4 linked regions of the Arabidopsis thaliana genome follow. The protein of the gene in region 4 interacts with the protein of the main gene of each other region in a pairwise test. Each region holds a gene or a part of one and is shown on either strand. Other genes may lie near its edges.

Region 1 (5,054 bases), on a different chromosome or scaffold from region 4:
ATCGGGTCGGGTAAAAGTATAACCGGAGAAAATTTGAACCGGGAGTGACTGGAAAACTGTAGGTGAACTCAGATCGGAATATTCGAGCTGTCATGTACGGAATCTGAGAAACTCCTGATTCTTGGTATGACGCTTGTGCAGTGAACGAAGCGTTGACTAAATTTGACGATAGAATTTTCTGATTTTCCGCCGTCCAGTTTCGGCCACTAACGTCGACGTTGTTTGAAGTGTCGCCGCAGTTGAAGAGAAAGACATCGGTGGGTTCATACGTCGACGTTGCTCCTTCTCCTACTATGGGGGTGGAAACGAGAATAGAGAATATTAACAAAGCGTGACGGATCATTTGGTATTGAAGTTGAAAAAGAAAAGATTAGGTGTTTTTCATTTTTCATAACTAGGTTATGACTTAAGAGCCACGTGAAATGGCGAAGGAACTTATTTAACAATTTTGTTTTTTTTAACGACTGTATTTAACAAAATTTTATATTGCAAAACTTTTTTGATTGCATTTTGAGACAAATGTCAAACATATTCTCAACCGTTACGAACCGCCAAAAAAAAATCCAACTTTATCTCTGGTCAAATAAAAGCAAGTATATAATATCTAAATTTAAGCTGCTAAATAATCATCAAAATGTAATTTAAATACAATAATGTGTTTATTCAACAATTATACATACACAAATATATATCAACCCTAACCAGAATGTGATACTTGTTTACCAAGCCATCAAATCTACCGTGCTTTAGGTTCATTGATCTCCGAAAATACTCCCCAACTCGAACCACTCCTCTCATCACCAACAACTAGAACAGAGTCATCGGTCGTGGTCGATTTCCCAACGTGTCCTGTAGTCCTACTAAACAAGTCATCTTCTCCGTCCGTGGTCGTACCAACTTCACCACTTGGCATTAGATCCAGAGACTCCACGTTGTCATTCTTCTTCTTAGCAGTCTCGTGAAGCTGAAGAGCAAACTCAAGCGCCCAAACAACGTCGTTCATCGGTGGCCGTTCCATACCACGGTCTTGAACACATCTAATGGCTATCTCACAAAACTTCTCCATCGAGGTCGAAGTGATATCAGCGGTTAAATCTGAGTCAATGATCTGATCAACGGTTCTTTTATTGAAATTTGACTTCACCCATCGGATCAAATCTGCTTGTTCCGGTGGAACACTTTGCATTCTGATCGGTCTACAGCACAAAACCTCCAACAGAACAACTCCAAAAGAGTACACGTCGGATTTTTCGGTCAAGATTTGACGGCGATAGTACTCGGGATCCAAGTAACCAAACGTTCCTTTAACGACGGTGGAGACATGCGTTTGAGAAGCACTAGTAGGACCAACTCTTGATAAACCAAAGTCAGATACTTTAGCGACGAAGTTCTCATCGAGAAGTATGTTTGTGGTTTTGATGTCTCTATGTATGATCGTGTACTTGGCTCCAGTATGAAGATACTGTAATCCACGAGCTGCTCCAATGCAAATCTCTAGCCTTCGTTTCCATGACAATGGAGGATCAGAGGCCTTGTCTCTCCTGAAAAGATGATCTTTAAGTGTACCATGTGGCATATACTCATAGACAAGTACCATCTCGTTGTCGTCATCGCAATATCCGATTAGAGAGACGAGGTGTACATGTCGAAGCTTTGAAAGCATCTCGAGCTCTGTATCGAACTCTTTAGCACCTTGGTTCGATGTAATTTCCAGCCGTTTAACCGCAACAAGTGTGGCTCCACCGTCTATTCGTCCTTTGTAGACAGAACCAAACCCGCCTACTCCTATGATTAGTTTTTCCTCGAAATCATTTGTGGCGGATTTGATTTCGTAGATGGAGAATCGACGGCAGAGATCTGATGGAAGAGATGAGGCAGATTTTGTATTTGTAGAGCCTGTCCCGTGCAGAAGAGGACCCCATGACGAGTTCGTAGAAGGCTTGTTCGTGGTATCTACACTAGACTCGTTGCTCTTCTTCTTTCTCTTCATAACAACGAGGACAACAACAAGAACAAAAAACGCTAGCGCAACTGCAGAACCAACCACTGCAATTATTATTGGCAAAACATGTGATGACTTGCCTTTTCCTTTTAGTGGCGTTATAGATTGTGGTGGTGGACTTAGTTGAGGAATTGGATTAAGCCCCGCAAGATTACCATCAGAATTACTCAGCTTGAGAATCTCTACACCACTCAAAATAGCGTCGTAATAGGTTGGATAGTCCTCTTTGTAAGGTGTCAAGTCAACTCGAAGACTAGGTCTCTGGCTAGTTCCGTCGGCGTCGACAAGTACCTTGAAATCTAGATACATCGGTAGCCGAAAACCACCACTCAGCCGAAACACGTCCATTTCACGCATGGCCAGTTGATATCCGAAGAAGATGGAGAAGACGCGGTCACCCGTTTTGTTGACTTCCGGTTGCGTCTCACAGAAATGAAGCCTCACTATATAGGCAAACCCGGCATCGACTTCAAAGAGCCACGTCAGGTTGAAATTCAGGTTTAGCTCAGGACTGTCTTTGTTCCCCATCAGGCGACACGTCGTGTATACATCTTCCGGCGCAACGTACGCGGGAGTTTTATCCGTGTAGTTGATCTTTACACCTGTTATATTCGGAATGGCTCCCGAATTAATACCGAGTAAGAAACCTTCATCGGAAAGCCAACGCCGGAACATTCCCGAATCTCCGACGTCGCCCACCACTTTTCCACCTACGTTTACCCGATAAACGGTCTCGAAAGCCGTGGAGTTGTCTATCTCGAAGTCAACGTCCCTACCAACGTTTCTTACAACGTCGTCAAATCCTCCCTTTGAGTAAAACCGGTCAGGCATGGAGATAATCTCGATTCCGTTAACGAAAGCTAATGAATTCGGAGAGGGCGTGAACGTGAGATCAAGAGTTTGGTTAACCGGAACGATAAACTCTTTGATTAGAGAACTTGACTCCGGTATGGAAGCTTTTACACTGAAGTTATGCAAGAGAGTGAAACGGTTGACGTTGACGGAGAAGAAGGATTTAACGGCGTCGAAATCGGATCCGTAACGGGTCGGATAAAAGTATAACCGGAGGAATTTCCAGCCGGGAGAGACTGGAAAACTGTAAGTGAAATCATATCGGAAAATCCTAGCTTTCAAGTACGGCACTTGAGGAATCCCTGATTCTTGGTATGACGCAGATGAAGTGAACGACGCGTCGTCAACTGCATTCGATGACATAAATTTCGGATTCTCCGTCGTCCAGTTCCGGCCACTGTAGTCCATGTTGTTGGAGGTATCGCCGCAATTGATGAGAAAGACATCAGTGGGCTCATACGACGCCGTTGCGTCGACGACGGCGGAAACGAGAATAGTGAAAATTACTAAAACGTGACAGATCATTGGAATTGATAAAAAAAAAAAAACGAGAAGAGAATTGAAGAATTTTGAGAAGATAAGAGACTAATGGGTGGTGAGTGACTCACTTGGTCAACCATTGACTTTTCAGGTCAAGCAAAACAAGAAGGTATCGATGAAGTTTTTCTTCCGTGGGGTCAATTTGCCTAAGGTCCAAGAATTAAAAGATGACGCAAATTGACTCATTTGTTGTTTTAGTCTACCCTCAGACTCAAACCCAAAAAAGCTCGACTCTTTTAGAGCTTTGGGTTCATTTTAGAGGGTTCCAGTAAATAGGTTAAAATCAAACCACATGCTATGAGCTTCAGTTAGTTAGACTTAGCAAGCCTAGAAGATATAATTGTAAATTTGTAATGTAAAATTTGGTTGTGGAAAATAACTAATATTGTTTATATTGAGGTTTGTTTTGCAGTGTTTTTTACAATTGAGATATAAAAAGAGATTGATTTTTAATTATAAAACTATCAAAAATATTTTTCAGTATCTTAGTTTTAAAGTTTTATATTTATTTGTGAATATATTACTTATTTACATATACGTTTATTTTAAAAGAGGAAAATTATGTTTATAACAATGATTGAAAGCTTTATTAAGATAGAAAATAAGCTAAGAACTTAGATAGCTCATGAAAAACTTATTGTGCAAAGAACCTAAAAGAGATGAAACATTAATTGAAGAACACCAATCTTAGTAAAAAAATATATTTGATTTGATATATCATAAAAAGTGTTAAGGAGGAGAGTTAAACCTCAAAGTTACGTCCATTGATTCTCGATACGAACTAAGCTTACTAAAAACCCCTAAGTTTACTACTTGTCTGATTTTGTACATCAATTACCATTCATCGCTTAAGTAAAATAAATAGCGAAGGTTGTTTAAATGGCTAGTTTCAGATAGTATATAAGGATATGAGGTTTTTTATTTCTTTTCTTTGTCATCTAAGTTATATATTGGATTTGTTGTCGAAAGGCTGAGAACATACATCAAAGGACCGAAGAACACGAATAAAACAAAGCCAACATATACATATTAAAATATACTTTGGTATCTCAGGAGAAAAAGCCGAATAAAGAAACTTCGGAGACTAGCAAGAAACACTAAAACAACACGATCTAAAATTAGAATAAGTAGACTACGTACAACACTTAGACATAAACCAATAAAAATCCGAGAACTAAAACAGACTAGAGACACTGAAGGAAAAGCAACAAATCCCGAACACAGCTTCTGAACTTCTCGTCCTTTCTTACTTGCGATTAGTACACTTGAATAATACATTAATACGTAAACTTGCACTTCCATAAGGACATGAGTTCAAAACCCACTTTTGGCATATTATATTTTCTTCACTATTATTATGTTTACCAAATGAATCTTTTTTTGTTTTTGTTTTTTGAGTGTTTCCCTTCAGAGGAGTTTGGTCCTGAATTCTTTAGTTCAGTTTCTGCTTGGGAGACGTACCTTTAAACTTTACCAATTTATTTAATTTTTAAAGAAGTAGTCCACAATTGTATATATATCTAGATAGAGCAACTCTTAGTTTTTATAGAATAATTACTTCGCTGACTTTAAAGAAAATTATTAAGAAACAACACTCAATAATTTGGCAACAAACAGACACCGTACATTTTGTTACAAGCAAGTTATTTCCCAAACGCTT
Region 2 (5,099 bases), on a different chromosome or scaffold from region 4:
TTAAACAATTGATGGAGGGAGAGATGGGGAAGACAACGATGAAGAATGTAAAAGAGTATGCGAAAATGGCGAAAAAAGCTATGGCTCAAGGGACTGGTTCGTCTTGGAAGAGTTTGGATTCGCTTCTGGAAGAGCTTTGTAAGAGTAGAGAGCCAGACGGTGTTAATAAGTTGTCAAGTTCTGATGCTTAGAGAGATTAAGGATTGGATAACAAAACGGCTTCGTACCTAATTTTAGTCATTAAATATGTTAGGTTTGTTGAAAAGTTGGTCCATTCTTCTCAATTGGATATGAATGACTAATTTGGAGTTCTAATTCTTGGTTTTGGTCTTATAGTTTCAAAAAATTTCAATTGCATTCAGTGGTTGCTTTATGAGATTTTTGCTATCTTTGAGGTTAATATTGGCTGGTCAATCCGAAGAAGCTATCAACACCTTAGTGTTCTTCTGAAAGACTTAAAAATGAGTTTGTATGCAAAAGTAGTATCTACTATGAGAAGAAATCAGACTATATAACATTGAGACAGTTTAAGAACAATGTATTTTTACTCTACACTCGTTTTCTATATCTAACATCCTCAAACCGAAACGAAAAGAAAAGAAAAATTACAAGTTGAAATAATTAAGGGAGTTTCCTAACTATTTACCATCTAAAACCAAACAGTTCACACAAAAGTTTTTTGCCCATAATGACTACACTTTAAACGTCTTCTTTATCTATAGAGAAATCAGGCTCATCTGGTTTGAATAGTTGAGGCATCTTCAAACTGGTGGAAGATCCATCTTTCTTACCAGTACTACTACTTGAAGCCTTTTGATTTGTTCCTCTTCTCGTGTTCGCCGCAAATTTAGATGCTAAGATCGTTGCTCCCAGATTTGTGTTGTCCATTGATCCGCCTTCCTCGTCACTTCCATAGTAATACTCTCTAGTTTCTTCGTCTTCTTCATTGTAACCTGTTTCATCCGGGTAATAGTATCCGCTACTCTCGTGAAGGCTGAGCTCTTTCGCAAGCTTTCTTCGCTTGTATCTTCTCCATGCAGATTGGACAAAACATGCTCCCCATGCTCTCCATTGATGTGAGTAGTACCTGAAAGCGTGTTGAAGCTTTTTGCTTTGAAGACGTTTGAACTGATGAGCAACAAACTTAAGATCCTCTGCGCTTAATGCAAAGGCTTCTACTTCAGAGAGGGCACGGACGCTTCGTGTTGAAGACGGAAGATTGAGTGTAGAGTTTGGCATTAAGGCCCATGTAAGAAGTTCTTCCCCACAGAAATCGCCAGGTCGTAGAGTAGTGGAGTTGAAGAAACCAGATCTTCCTCCATTTGTTGTTGAGCTCTCTATTTGTCCTCGGATCACAAATAGCATCTCATTCACCGGATCACCTTCACGGAATATGTATGTCCCGGCCGTGCTTAAAGATGAGACAAGGCATCCGCATATAGCATCAAGAAGTTGATCATCCATTTGAGAGAAGAACGGGACCTGCACTTACCACAACAATGTGACTTCTGAATTGAAAAACAATCAAATCCATAACAGTTTTTGATGACTGAGTTGATGTATGTACCCGGCGAACAAGGGAGAGACAAAGATGACGTTGGATTTCACGGCGTAAATCTGTAGGTAATGAATGGAGGATTGATTCTTCATCGACACCTCTGGTTGCAAGCCATTTGTATTGGACAAATCTTCGGACACGTTCTTGAAGCTCTGGAGGTAGTTGACGATGTCTCATCCATTCTTCAGTGTCTCTTCTCTTAACTCTCCATTCCTCAACTCTTACTGACATCGATTGCAGAGAAGACTTTCCACCAAATTAAAAATCATGAAGTCTATTGTTAGAAAGACAAAAAAATGTCTCTGTATTGAAAAGTTTTGCAGAGTGATGCATAAGCTCTGAATCTTACTTGCATGTTACCAATCAGGAGTGTGAAGAGAATCAACCCAAAAATACAAATTGTTATACAGAACAAGGTCTCGCCAAGGTATACACTTGTGGTTATATTCTGTCCATAAGAACTGTGAAACAAAACCTTTATTAAAACCAAAGGAGGACAATTTAAGCAGATACTGGTTAGATAAAAGGTTGTCATACCTTAGATTTCTTAAACCCCACCAAAGACAATACAAGTACTTGGACACAAAATCTGTTGTAGCAACTTGAGTGGTAAAGGCTTCAGCAAACATTCCGAATTTGAAATTGGTAGTGCTGCTTGTAGCATCACAATGAGAAAGGACCTGAGTAACGTTCTGCCAATACTGGCGCTCTGGTTGTTCTAAACTCTTGCAATCCAAGAAGCTAGGAAGACAATCCAAAACTCTCAAAGCGTTGTCTTTCTTGCATACGTTGGACCAGCACGAAAACTGCCGCCCGATTGATGACAGATACCACATTGCTCCTAACACCTGCCCACAAATAGAGATTCTTAGCAACTTAAAACTGAAGAAACCTAAAGATTTGAAAAAACACACAAGATAAAGAAAACTTACGTGACTAGCAAGGATGTACAATAGGAGGTTGTATGCAGCTCCTGCCCAAGCAGTCTTGGCGATAAACCCGGTTGTTTTGATAATCCTTTGGTTGAGTGGGAATATGATGAATGATCTTGGAATGTATTGAACAAGAACGATAAGTGCGAGAGTGCTATTGGCATGATTAGCAGTTCCATTTGTGGCCGCTGGAATTACTAGCCAAATAACAAGCTGAGATCAAAAGATAGTCAGAAACAAAGCATGAGGCTCCCAAAATATCTCTGTTCTTTAATCTTCTAGCTACCGCCTAACGATTTTTGAACATTGATCTTAGCTAATCGTAATCCATATCATTGCTTTCACATTCAAAATAAGAGCAAAATCTTAAGAACCTGAGGAAGGGGAAGCATGGCGGCGACATCAATGAGGAAATCTGTCTTCAAGTATCTCATAGCAATCTCTCTAGAATCCATAACAAGCTCACCGCGACCAAAAACACGAGAACTCCTCGCGACGAACGCAGTTCTGAATTTCATGAAAATGTGCAAGAGGTGGAAGATATCGGCGACTGTACGGAAGAAAGTGACAGTAGCGGCGAGGCTGATGTCGATGGAGAGACACGCCGGACCACCGACGTAAGGGACGTAGAAATAGAAAGGATCGAGGAAGAGAGCGAGGATTGAGGTAATGAGAAAGACGTGGTTCCAATAGGTGACGATGTTGCTGTCCGGGTCCAGGATCTGATGCCGCCATAGGACGCTGAATTGGCTACCGTCAGATCCTCGATTTGAGGCGGCGGTGGAGGCGGAGGTTATGGTCTCCGGGAGGAGGCAGCGGAGAGACCGGATTTTATTCATCTTCCATGGCGGATTCCGGTGTTAAATCGGATTCCGCATTAACACAGAGAGAGATTGAGATTGATGGACAGAGAGGCTAGGTGGTTGCGTCGTGTGATTTTTTGTTTTTTTGGGTTTTTGCATTTTGTTTTTGATGATTATGGAAGAAGGAGAGGATTTCTCGCGGGAAAACTGAGAGAAGGGCCATGGAAATAGGGGGAAGGGTAGTTTTTGAAAATATGATGGGAGAATGAGGGTATTTACGGAATGTTATAGTTGCGGGTCTCGTTTGTTTATGCTGTTTTTGTGTTCTCAAAACAGCACACGTTTTGCATCTCAAAACTTCAATCGACACAATATCTACTGTTCTTAGTTGTTGGACCCACCGGCCCAATAGTTATAGATCGGCCCAATAGTTATTTTTTTCTACTTTTTTTCTATGAAAATCAAAGGGATATATACTATATATGCTTTAGGATTTTAAAATTACACATTATAATGTATACAATTGCTATGATCATTTCTATTGATAAACTAATAATGTTTTTAGTAGTTTTAACTTAAAGTCCGGTTTAATATTGTTTAGTTCAATTGTTCAAAGAATAAAAAAAAAAATTATAATTAATTCGTAAAACCATGATAAGATTAGTTAAAATATCTAATTCGTTATGAGGTTCATTAGAATTTATTTAAGTGAATTATTGAAGTTTTATGAGCTACATTTATTATATTTTGTCAACACATTAAACCCGTAATTCAATTATACTGTCTTTTGTAGTATTTCCGTTTTTGACATCAGTTTAACAAATTGTCTTACATAATTCATTTGTTGTTGTTATGTACTATTAAAAGTATATAGAAGCACGCGTACCAAACATTCTGTGACAATATGTGGTAGTGGGAAGATAGTGTACATGCTTGTTGACACCATCCATAAGATAGTGTACCTATAAAATAACAAAAAGGGAATAGAAATCCTTAGAAACAATTATGCGAATATAAAAGGGATAATAAGAAGTGAGAATAATAAAATGAATACTGAAATTAAAAATTACGTCACGGAAAAATGATGTTTATCCACACAAAAAGAACAACAACTTCCATCATATCATATAGAGGGACATACTAACTTTTCCACTTCCAAAAAATCACACTTATGCGTAATTGTTTTCTCTAACAATAATGACGTATTTTAGTCCTTCAAATTTTAGTACTCCATCATTTTCCGATTAGACACAAAGTAGTAATTTCAATATAAAAAATTAATAACAAGCTTTTATAAATGATTATGATAACTTATACTAACATATGTGACAATATTGTTTTCTCTATGCTTGTTAAACGTAATTAAGAAACAATGATGTTAATTACTCCAACTAATTCATGGATCTAGAAATACGATGTTGGTTAAACATTATTATCGACTAATTTATTACTTCGTTAATGGCTGCTATTAAGTATGACCACGTGTGGCAGATTTGAGATGTTTAGCGATCTTTAAATATAGAATCCGACGGGATCCAATTCTCCTCTTTTTTTTTTATTCCACTTTGCCACTGTGATTATATAATAAGTATGATTAATTAAGAGATTTACATTCTATTGATTTACTTTATTATTTTATTCATGTGGAGTAGACTATACGACAACTACTTTATCGTTACTTTTTAATTTTATTTTTTAGTGAAAATTTGCTAGTCAAGTTTAGAAAATTCAAAATAGCATTTCACTTTTATATGCACGATTGATTTCGTTGCTTATATTAAGATAAGGAAAACAAATGTTACTCTT
Region 3 (5,486 bases), on a different chromosome or scaffold from region 4:
TAAGCAAGTATATAAATATGAACCTCAAGCAAAAATCTATTTTGAAAAAAAAAATAGATGGAAACAAAAAGTTTGTTAGGAGGGGAGGTTTTGTTTGTAACTTGGAGAATAAGGAAGTATGTATTGGTGTGTTTGAAGAAACAAAAATAAAGAAGAATAGGTCATTTTATTAAGTTTGGTTGGGCCAATCATGAATAAGAATAGTTAATGAATTGATGATTAAATTGGTTTTTTGATATATGCATGTATGTTTAGTTTCATGTTGTTAACGACCGTAGTAAGGTAAGGAATATATGTGAGTTTTGTTTGCTTAAAGAGCACAACTTTAACTAACTATGGTCCCTCTTTCTTTCCTATGTGTAATATACTTCAATCAAAATCTTTCGTTGTAGCTAACTAACTAGAAAATGTTTCCTTCCTTCTAACCCAACAACCCTGCCCAAATTACCTTCTTACCCTTTCTACGACATTTTAAAAACAAAATATCATATAACTTAATCCAAATCTGTATTTAACATTTTCTTGAAGAATTTGTATCTCATGTGTATCTTTTATCATTAAAAAAAACTGATAAATAGGAGAGAATCTGTAGAGACTTAAATGGGTTAAAGCCCAATATATGCGACAATAAGCCCAATAAATACCTCAACGCATATTCATCTTTTTTCTCAAATCTTATCTGATTTTCTCATCACTCATAAATTCACAATTCAGTGATCGTCATTTGCCCAATCACAAAACCAATGGGATCAACTAATAAACTCTGGAGCCGTAAACCAGACGTCAAAACCGGGAAATCAGAATTTCCGGTTACCAGATTCCTCCGTACACAAATCGATAACATCAAGACAACAACCGTCGGTCCCGGAATCGGCGGCGGCATTGGCTGCGGCGCTGGAATCGGCATTGGTCTCTCCGGCGGGCTCGGAATAGGTGCCTCTGAAGGACTTGACCATTCTAACGTGGTTCTTGGATTCGGTATTGGTTGTGGTATCGGGTTCGGGTTTGGATACGGATTTGGAGTTGGCGGCGGGTACAGTTTCGATGACATCAAAGAGAGATTTGACCTATGAAAAAAAGCTCCGGTTCATAATTCCGGGTCGGGTTTGGGTAAAAGATTTTTAAAGCATTATGTTAATTTTGTACTGTATTAACAGTTTTGTTAATTATATAAGTTCAATAAAAATATCCTCCCTTGTGTCCTTTTATTTTTCATAATAATATCACAATTATGAATGATTAACAGAAAAACCATAAAAATTATCACATGAAATTTATGAAGTAATCTGAAAATTATGAAGTAAACACATAATCTAATTAAAATTATTACTTTTCATTAATTAATAATAATTAAATAGAAGTTACCAATTTCTCGAAGCTCTCCAATACACTTCTCATGTGTGGTCTTTTATCTGGGTTCTTCTGCACACAAGCTAAACCGATCTTGATGACTTGAACCATACTATCTTCCAAATCTCTATCACGAGCTAAAACCGGATCAAGAACATACCAAGCCGGTTTATTTCTCTCACTAGCCGATTCAACCCACATAACCAAATCCATTTCTGAACTAACCGGAGATTTTCCGGTTACCATTTCGAGTATCACTAAACCGAATGAATACACATCCCATTTCTGAGACGGTTTAGTCATTTTTGAAGCTGCTTCAGGAGCTTGGTAATATGATTCTCTAGAGAGGATTGGTGAGCTTGTCTCCATGGGAGAGATTTGGTCTGATCTGATATCTGAAGACGTGTCGACGATACGACCTAGACCGAAACCGGATACTTTCGGTTCAAGATTCGGTCCTAGAAGTATGTTGCTTGTGTTTATATGTCCATGGACATACCTTTTGGGACTAAACTCATGAATATAAGTTAATCCTTTTGCTATTCCTCTCAATATTTTTAACCGGACCGTCCAGGTTAGTTGCTTGCATGACACGCTACCAGGTCTACCTGTCATAAATTTTTATGAATCAGTCTTGAATCTTAACTATGGTCATAGATTTATGCGATTTTGACACTAAAATTACCTTGAATTGCAGAACCAAGGTCACCATTTGGTATGTAATCATAAATCAGGAGTTTCTCTTCAGGAGACCAGCAACAAGCCTTGAGATTCAAGACATTAGGGTGCTTGATTTTCGCCATTGCTTCGACATCAGCTAGAAACTCTTTGAGCCGTAGCCAACCTTTATCTTCTAATCGTCTAACGGCTAACATTAATCCATTTTCAAGAACTACCTTGTACACAAGCCCGATCCTGCTCTTCCCTAGAAGAAAAGCCGAGGCTTTTAGAAGCTGGTCGAGGTCAAATTCGATTTCCGGGTCCATTGGCATGAAAACTTGTTGATTTTTGTTCTCATCTAGCGTTTCAGATTCTGAATTCCCAGTCTTGAAACAGAGAAACTCTGGCTTTGTCGTCTTCTTCAGTTTCTCGTTTATATGACATGTTCGGTTGTTTTGATCTTTGTTTGCACGAGCCGATGCTTTTCGGAGATAGTAGATGAATAATGAAGCAAGAAAAATGATTCCGGCGACTGTGCCTCCAGTGGCTGTAAGGATGATGCAGAGTCTAGAATGATGGTTGGCTCTTCTTGTATATAGTTGAGAAGGAACTACTTGTGTGTTTCTTGTGCTGCAAGAAATCTTTATCGGTAATCCACAGAGGAAAGGGTTCCCTTGGAAAGCATTTGGACCGGCATTCAACAGAACGTTGAATTTTGGTATCGGACCACTGAGATTATTGTAAGAAAGATCGACATAGAGAAGCTCAGGGAGATTTCCAAGACTTGTTGGAATCATACCTGAGAAGAAGTTATGAGAAAGATCAAGTGTACCTTTCAGATTCTCCAGACTTCCTACATCTTCGGGGATCGTTCCAGTCAAGCGATTGAAAGAAAGATTCAGTGTCCGAAGATGAACCAAGTTAGAACCTAACCCTGTTGGAAGATCTCCAGAGAAACTGTTCTTGCTAAGAACAAGCGTTTTCAGCTTCTTGCATGGAATAAGCGACAAAGAAATCGAACCGTTGAAAGAATTCTCCGAAAGATCCAGAGTCATTAGACTCTTCAAGCTACCAATCTCTTCTGGGACAAACCCGGAAAAAGAATTTCCAGAAAGCACCAAGCTTTGAAGCCCTTTAAGTCCAAAGAGTTCCACAGGTAACTTCCCTTGAAAGTCATTGTCTCTTAGGTTAATGTGACGAAGGGACAAGAGACTTCCAATGGATGGATCAAGAGAACCCGAAAGACGTTTATTAGGAAGACGAATCGAGACAACTCTCATATCATAATTACATGTAACACCTTGCCAAGAACAAGGGTTTGAATCTGAAGAGTTCCAATTGGTAAAAACAGAGTCACTCTGGTTTTGTATGGATTGTTTAAAGGAAAGAAGAGCAAGACCTTGATCGTTTAGAGAAGTGGCTATGGCAAAGAAATGAGTTAGAATGAAGCAGAGAATGAGAAATAACTGAGACATCTCTAAAGAGAGACACAATTCTGAATTGAGTAAAGTTTGGCTCCTAAATATCTCCAAGAAATTAGTGTTTATATAGCTTGGACTGGCCTAGTTTTCAATCAAGTCAACAGTTTTAACTTCTTATCAATTCTAAATTTTTTGAAGATATTTATATGTTTGAAGAAACTTATATCTAAATTCATGCATCAAACAAATTGTATATACCTCATTTACATGTCAATGGAATTAGCGATGATTGAGGCTATAATTGAAACAGTAGGGGACACGTAAGGTAATGAGGAATAGCTTTTCTAGTTTCTAGTTGTTTAGTTAGTGGTGGGGTAATGTATTGACAATTTTACTTCCAAATCCTAAAGTCAAATCTCCACCAGAATTATTGTTGTGCCGGTCAATTTAAGTTTTTCGTTTCGATTTGATTTGTACTCTAGTTTACTTCTAGATTGTTTGTTTCTGTTTTGGAGTCTGAGACAAATATAACTAGTTTGGGGGAAAAGAGTTAACATTTGTCGGAAAAATATATGAAAACAATAATATTACTTGTGTGAATTTTATGAGTCATGGCCAAACATTTCTACTATGATTGTTGCATAATTTTATAAGTTAATTTGGTTTTAACATTAGCAAAATATTATTTCGAGGAGCATTTAATTTAAAATATAAAACATAAATTTATAAAAAATTTTGTAGACGTTTGTGGTACAAATTAGCTTAGCCGGTAATCTTTTATGTATTTCTAGTTGACCAGAAAAAAAAGATACAAGTACATAATTTTGTTTTTTTTAAAATATGAATATGATTCATTCTTTACAATTAAATTCGTTTTTACTTTAATTTACTTTGATTTGTGTGTCTATAATATAGTTTATGCCAAAATTTCTTTTATCAACGGCTGGTCATGTATGAAATTTGTTGGTTCTAGTTCGATATAAACCATTCAAATTACCAAAATCAAATATGAAAAAATTTACCTGACTCTTATACAATGCAATACATTATTTTCATTAATATACACCTAAAGTCTACATAAATACATCATTTTTTTATTATCAAAAAATAACAAAAATACAAAACAAATAAATCACTTACAAGCTAAAAACAATGTGAAACTTAACACGCAAGCAATAAAAAAACTTACACTCACTTCAACAAGATAACTAAACTTCTCATTGTTCTAAAGAAGAATTACGCCTCTTCCGGCTAAAAAATTTGACCATGTTTGGAACTTTCTTCTTCTTCTTGATTACAAAGAATGTTGGAGTCGCTCGGTTCCCTGATGAGTACCTTCTCGACTTCCCTCCCTGAACCGGTGCAAATTTCCCGCTCAGCCTAACCGATTTTCTCACCGGTTTAGGAGAGTTGATCAAGCCATTGTCTTCTGAATTTCCCTTGAACTTCTGAATCTCATCTTGGACCAATCTCTTTATCGATAGCGACCTCTGCATCCTAAACGATTCCCTCTCTTCTTCCAACATTGTTTTCCCACTCACTCTCTTTAAAGATTCTGTCTTTATCATAATCGCCTTAGTGCTAGCCTTTAGTGCTTCGACCCACGCCATTGCTGCTTCCACTTTCTTCTCTGCAGTTTCTTCAGCATGACAAGCTTTTCCACTCAAATACTCGTACTCAAATCTCGATATTGTAATAGTTGAATTACGCCGAGATTCCATTTCTCGAGTTTCCATTGTTTTCTCTACCATTGTTTCAAGCTTCTCTAGAGCTAAACTCTCTGCGTGCTTCGCTTTCTCAAGCTCATCTAACTTGGAAAGCAACTCTTTTTCCTTTCCATCAAATCCTGTTTCGGTTTTCTGTATCTCATTGTTGATGATCCTTGCTTCTTCTCTAAGCTTAAGCTCCTCTTTCTTTGCAGCTTCTCTATCACTCTTTAGTTTCTCAAACGAAGTAGTTAAATTGTCAGCAAGATAGCTGATTCTTTCTTCAGCTTTAGATACTGCTTCTAATTGATCTTTCGCAATAAGCAGCTTCGTATTGAGTCTCTCAAGC
Region 4 (6,267 bases):
TACCAGCAAAGCAAACCTCCGAAGGGATCATAACTACACATATTGATCACCTAGTTACCTTTCCTTTAAGACTAAAAGATTTGGTTTGATGTTGCAGGCGATACAATGTTTAGGCGGAAATGGATACATAAACGAATATGCAACAGGACGCCTTCTAAGAGATGCAAAGCTATATGAAATCGGTGCAGGGACAAGCGAGATCAGAAGGATTGTCATCGGTCGCGAGCTTTTCAAAGAAGAATAGAGATAAGTCTGTTTTCTGCATTGCCAATGCGACATTTTCATTCTGTACACGTATATATAATTCACAGTGTCCTTAATAACCTCACAATAAGAAAAATAGCTTCAAGCAATCCTCTAGAAACCATATCAATTATTAGTCACATTATGTGTGACATGTTATCACGATACCAGCATGCCAATCTAACACTGACACTTCTGGTTAAACTTACTATTTTGTCATTTGATTCGTCAATAATTAGTAAAGGCAACTCTAAAAAGTTCTTAACAATAATACCAACAATCTCTTTCTCATTTTCCATCAATCTGATCACCTTTCAGTTTTCTCTTGTATCTGTATCTCTTGTAAAATCGGCGATTGTCTACCCGAAAATCTAAACTCAGAAGCAACTTCTGTCTGAACCGGACTTTCTCCAGAATCAATATCACCATTGTTATTGTTACTGTTGTTGTCGGTGTCTGGCGTTTGGATAGTCTTTTTCTTGTCTCTAACCATCCCTTGCCAGTGCCTTAACACATTTGCTAGTTGTTCTTCTAAGATTGCTCTCTTGTAGCTTGACCCCATCTAAACACATATATATATGCATCCAAATCAAATTCAGATCACTAGGTTACACTAACAGTAATAATTTATATACTAATGCAAAACGATTTAATTTAAAAATGGTGTTATATATATTGGACTAAATTACCTGAGTTACAATGGCATAAAGAGGCAATGTAATGTAGCTGCTCAAGAACTGGACTGTCACCCTATAAATCATAATATCCTTAATATTAACGATATGATTTTTAATACAAAAATATAATTTCGAAAATGTAAATAATTTGTGGGATAAAATAAATAAATTGTAGTGCTTACGCTAATACAAGTCGTGTGATTATGATCCCTTGGTTATCATGGTAGCAAGAGTTAATCCCAAATTGCCACTAATTTCATAATTAAAATTATAGATACATCACATATAACAATTTCCTATATTATTTTTCCCTTTCTTATAAATCCAAATATTAAAATCCCTATAAGAAATTAGAACTTACAGTGATCCACACAATAAATGCCATCTCGAAGGTGTTCTGTATTAGAAAAATTAATGTTGGCATTATGATGAAGCATTAGGAAAAACGACATGTAGTTTATAAAAGATTACCAGAAACAGCGTGTAGTGTAGAATGCTTAAGAGAAAACGAGGATTGGAAAACCAGAAATGCGTGTCGTTTGACTCAACGAGAGGGGTTCCTCTAATTACACTGTTATTCTCCTTAATTGTGACCGCCATTTTCGCTACTATCATCTCTAGTTTCGTCCCGATCACTAAAACTATCTACGTAACAATATTAGTTCGTCAATAATTTGAGTTACACATATAGTTAATTAGTCTTAACTAGATTAAATTAGCTCTTACAATGAGTGGCACAAATGACATATAAAAATATACTCTCCAACCTGATGATTAAGAAAAAAAGAAGAAGATAAGATAAAAACGAGTAATCACTAATAATTATTTTAATTTAACTATTTAAGCTAACAAATATATAAATTAAGTTACCAGAAACGTCGAGGAGCATAAAGATGACCACAGTTAGCCACATTAAAGGACTGTAACAAAATTAAAAAGTTTATTTGATTTAACTTTGTTACTTAAGATTCATGTAAAATACACAAATATGACTACCTTATACCAACCACAGTTTTAAAATCTTCATGTAAAGATCTCTGTATATAGTTTTGGAAGTTGAAAGCATTATTTGACGATACATGAGCCTGCATCAATAATCAAAATAACACATTAAATTTAAAATTTATTTATTTTTAAATAATTATTCATTGACAAAAAATGAGGTACTAACAAAGATGAACCCATGCCGAAGTGTGAGGTAATCTACTTTCGCCACTGAGTTGTAAAATTGCCTGAAGAAACATTTCTAAGAAGAAAAAAACTTAATTATTAATATAGTTAAACCTATATATTTGAGATAAATGTTAATTAACAAATTAATTAAAGATTAATAATAGGTACGAACTTACAATCCAAAGTTGAAATGATGTTTCAGTCCATGAACTCAGGTGTCGTCGAGCAAATGTTGTATCTCTTGTTATTCTAAACCTATTCGGATCTTTAAATTTTCATAAAATATTAATTAACTTATCGACTAAGAAATAATTGACATTGCATGTAATTTCGTAGTAGAAAAATACAAAAATCTTACCGTTTGCTGCTAGATACTCCACTGTTTGGGTCTCTTTCTCCCACGAATTCCATTTTCTCATCTATATGTATTACGTACACAAAAAACTTTGTATGTAAACAATAGTAAAAAACCATGTCACAAATTATTGAAGTCTTTATTAAACAATTGTAATGTTATAATATTTGATTGCATAGTGTATATATGTAGTACCTTGGCCATTCCAAGGAGAAGAATAGCAAGATTGCAGAGAATATGCATGCATGCCAACACAAAGAAGAAGTAACTCAACTGAGTCAACCCTTCTTCTGATATTAGTGAAGTCTTACCCTGCAAATTTTATTTTATTAAATCGGATTAGTTACTTCGAAATAAAATTTACTTTAGTAAGCAAAGAAAAAGTCATACTCTTGATATTTTGTTCATAACTCAACAATTTTTTTTTTGTTTTCTTTTTTATTTGGACGTAATTTTCTTGATTAGTGGACTCTAGCTAACGACAATGTCCAAGACTCCAAGTCAACGTCAAAGTAAACTAGTTGACATTTTTGGATTTTGCGGTCCTCTCTCCCTCCATCTTGGATTTCAAGAAGATATCTTAAAACTTTTGGATTCAGAAGTTTCATAAGTTAAGCATATAAAAATGTATATGATTAAATCTCTTATTTAAATAATCATATTGTAGAATAGTAAGCAATAAAAGGTTATGAAAACTGGAAAATCATTTAACGAAAATTCATAAATCAAAAACTAAATTGTGTGATTGATTAAGAAAACAAAATTGCTGCATAATTTCTATCTACAGTTTCACTGGTCATCAAAACTTTTGTTTTTCTAAGTTAAAACCTTTGTATACTACTTTTATACATTATATATATGTCCACCTTGGATTTAAAGATAAATGAAAATAAAACTGTAAAATGATTTTAATTAAAGATCAAAGGGTCAAAAAGAACCTTGGAAGAGCATTGATGAAAGAAGCTGTTGTCATGATTATCACCATCATCATCATCATCATCTTCACTAACATCATTATGTGATTTTATGGTTTTACGGCATGGCAACATTCGATTGGCATACTTTATAGGAATGCATATCTTCGAAACTTCTCCTTCAGTTACATTTAGCATTAGTGACATGAATCCTAGCACCATTAGAACTGCCCTTACAGAACATTAAAAATTCAGAGATTAATAAAATTGGAAGAGATATTTCAATTGATTTTCATATCCAAAAATTTAGGATTTTTTTTTACTATAAGATGTTTGAGCTTTTTAAATTAAACAAAGATTGATGACCAATGAACTTTTCTACGAATGGGACAGTTTTTTACCTGATTTGAGCTTCTCTACAGCTTCAAGTAGCGACGTTTTTCTATTTTTCTTAAGTCTCTGCAAGAAAAGAGACAATATATATATAATACAGTTTTGTCTTGAACTTTCGACTCGCTTTTTATTTTTTGTTGAAATTTCAACTCATGTTATCTAGCTGATATTTTTCGAAAATGGTTAAAATATTAAAATACATTTTTATTAACATACATATTTACTACTTCACCTATATATCTAATTTAATAAAATATAAATATATCCAATTTAAATTCTTGCAAGTGTAAACCAAACTCTACTTTTCCAAGAACAAAAAATTTATAAAAAAAACTTAAAGAGATTAGTCAAAATTTAAACAGTGTATAGAAGAAAGTATATATGATCCTATAATATACATATTTGTACTTACAGTGGATAGAAGATTGATGAGACGCTCGAGGCAAATGGAAACAGCGATGAAGAAGAAACAAACGGTGGCCAGAGCCCAAGTGGGAGTTTCTTGGAGGGATCGGACGGCGCCAACCTCCGAGGAGTGGTTGCTTTCTTCTTTATCCGTCATCTCTTTATATTTTTCCCGGTGACTGATTTGTTTAGTTGAGAAGATGAAGAATTAGATATGTGGTGGAAAATATAACTATATATCTATTAATATTGTCGCAATCATTGTTGTGTTGCAATCAAGAACTTGTCAAAGTTTCTAGTAAACACTGACGTTTAAGCTTTAAATGTGACATTAAATCCCAAGTCCCACTTCATACGTACTGCCCTGTCTTGACTTGGTAAGACTTAATATTATTCTTGGGTAAACTTGATAAGTAAATTAAAATAAAAAAATTTTAGTTAGTAAACTAAAAATGGATTGGAGTATTGGACGGTGAAAACCGACAATGTAAAGAAAGGATAAAACAGTTTCTAATTTTCTGCAATTATAGTCGATTTTACTAGTTAACTTTTAACTTTTAATTTAGTGGGTATATTATTTATTAAATGGAAATTAGAGTTATAAATTATAAGTTTTTGAGTTTGATTTTGTTAGACGTTCATTTGATAGTTCAGAAAACAAAATAGCACGTTACAAATATAAGTTCATTTTAATGTTTCTAGTAAAAACTAAATGAGAATAAAAACAAAATTAAGGAATATACTATGTAATGAAAATTTCTTATTTGTTGCCCTTTTTGTGTATATTATGAAAATTTCACCGTGGCCGTGAGAAGGGGTTACACATGTAAAAAAAAAAACTATGTAATGAACCCAAATCATATTATTGATATTTTCTTAATTTCATCAATAAATATTGCGATCTACCAAATTCACCTTCTTTTTCGGTTTAACAACCACATCAATATATAATTTTTAATACAAGAACGGAAATGACAATAAAAAAAATGATTACTTACTTCACAACATGATAACAAAACAAAACCAATATGACATCGTAAAATATTCTGGATGAACATTTGAACAAACATAATTATACGTACATTTTCTTAAGCTTATATATATATATAGAGATAAAAATAATGAACTTATATAGTTTTCAAAATTGTTGGAAAAAAAATGGAGGGTTCTAAGTCTAAGGTTTTTATTGTGCTTGATTAATTTAAAAAAAAAAACAAGAAACTAAAGCTAGAAATTAGGATTTAAATCATATCCAAATGGCCAAATTAAATGATGAGAACATTTTAGAGAGAAATCCCAACCACGTCTGATTTTATCATCCGAGCAATTCAGGATCCTTTTTTCTCGACTAAGCTCAGATCATCTTTGTTGTATTTGTTTGATGGCTGGTTTCCAGTTTCTTCGTCGAAACCATGTCTAGTGAATATCATTTTTTTGTTCTCTAGCTTTCTTCTCTTTTGTTTTGTTTTGTTTCCGTTTTTCTTTTACAATCTCATTGGTTTTCTCTAGTGATTGCAAAAACGTTGGAATCATAACAAAGAATCCTTTCAAATCTATCCGTACAACAGCCGCCCCACTGAGCACACTATAACACAAACTAAAAAAGATCTGATATATCGATGTTTGTATTATGTTGCAAATTAAACCAAGTTCCGACCCACTCAAGAATTAGAGCTTTAACAATCACGGGTGAAACGTATTTTTACACAAAACAAACATAAATTAAAATAAAATAAAAACATTAATTACATGTTTTATTATATACAGACAAATATTAAATATCAATAATTTTATCAAATAATTTATTTTAATCGTTTCATCCCACACTAGATGCGAGTTCTTATCTAGTTATAAGTTTATAACATAATCGTCGACAAAAGCCTATACGTTTTTTACTTAGGGCTGGCTCAAAATAATTAAAAATCATGTGCTAAAAAAAAGAATTGGTCATCATTTCCTATATTTTATTTTTTAATAAAAATTTGGACCCTAATTGTAACAGATTTACTTATAAAAAAAAATGTTGGATGGACCATGTGCATCAGCTCCTCGAGCACATGTAAGGGGTTCAAATCATTTTGTTATTAATATTATCAGTATATATGAT

What was found.
Region 1: the proteins of MLO3 (region 4) and AT5G38990 interact in a protein complementation assay, tested with the Arabidopsis thaliana proteins (one large-scale study listed by BioGRID).
Region 2: the proteins of MLO3 (region 4) and CNGC18 interact in a protein complementation assay, tested with the Arabidopsis thaliana proteins (one large-scale study listed by BioGRID).
Region 3: the proteins of MLO3 (region 4) and AT1G66830 interact in a protein complementation assay, tested with the Arabidopsis thaliana proteins (one large-scale study listed by BioGRID).

The regions. Positions count from the first base shown.
Region 1 is NC_003076.8:15,607,149-15,612,202, reverse strand, and holds AT5G38990 (Malectin/receptor-like protein kinase family protein), read right to left. Parts: upstream 3,519-5,054; 5' UTR 3,380-3,518; coding exon 737-3,379; 3' UTR 539-736; downstream 1-538. Other genes in the region: AT5G39000 (Malectin/receptor-like protein kinase family protein), read right to left, coding at 1-343.
Region 2 is NC_003076.8:4,807,569-4,812,667, forward strand, and holds CNGC18 (cyclic nucleotide-gated channel 18), read right to left. Parts: upstream 3,526-5,099; 5' UTR 3,330-3,525; coding exon 2,865-3,329; intron 2,704-2,864; coding exon 2,491-2,703; intron 2,407-2,490; coding exon 2,096-2,406; intron 2,020-2,095; coding exon 1,908-2,019; intron 1,805-1,907; coding exon 1,568-1,804; intron 1,483-1,567; coding exon 700-1,482; 3' UTR 523-699; downstream 1-522. Other genes in the region: AT5G14860 (UDP-Glycosyltransferase superfamily protein), read left to right, coding at 1-191. UniProt on the Arabidopsis thaliana protein: Cyclic nucleotide-gated ion channel required for directional pollen tube growth into the transmitting tract. Acts as a Ca(2+)-permeable divalent cation-selective channel inhibited by either lanthanum or gadolinium.
Region 3 is NC_003070.9:24,929,350-24,934,835, forward strand, and holds AT1G66830 (Leucine-rich repeat protein kinase family protein), read right to left. Parts: upstream 3,589-5,486; 5' UTR 3,486-3,588; coding exon 2,036-3,485; intron 1,959-2,035; coding exon 1,351-1,958; 3' UTR 1,074-1,350; coding exon of another isoform or gene 744-1,073; 3' UTR 549-743; downstream 1-548. Other genes in the region: AT1G66820 (glycine-rich protein), read left to right, coding at 744-1,073; PMI2 (PLASTID MOVEMENT IMPAIRED protein (DUF827)), read right to left, coding at 4,649-5,486.
Region 4 is NC_003074.8:16,615,636-16,621,902, reverse strand, and holds MLO3 (Seven transmembrane MLO family protein), read right to left. Parts: upstream 4,506-6,267; 5' UTR 4,318-4,505; coding exon 4,168-4,317; intron 3,822-4,167; coding exon 3,764-3,821; intron 3,590-3,763; coding exon 3,387-3,589; intron 2,761-3,386; coding exon 2,644-2,760; intron 2,513-2,643; coding exon 2,452-2,512; intron 2,359-2,451; coding exon 2,270-2,358; intron 2,167-2,269; coding exon 2,092-2,166; intron 2,006-2,091; coding exon 1,917-2,005; intron 1,841-1,916; coding exon 1,791-1,840; intron 1,688-1,790; coding exon 1,647-1,687; exon of another isoform or gene 1,566-1,646; coding exon 1,392-1,565; exon of another isoform or gene 1,366-1,391; intron 1,318-1,365; coding exon 1,282-1,317; intron 1,171-1,281; coding exon 1,103-1,170; intron 994-1,102; coding exon 933-993; intron 806-932; coding exon 551-805; 3' UTR 533-550; downstream 1-532. Other genes in the region: IVD (isovaleryl-CoA-dehydrogenase), read left to right, coding at 98-244.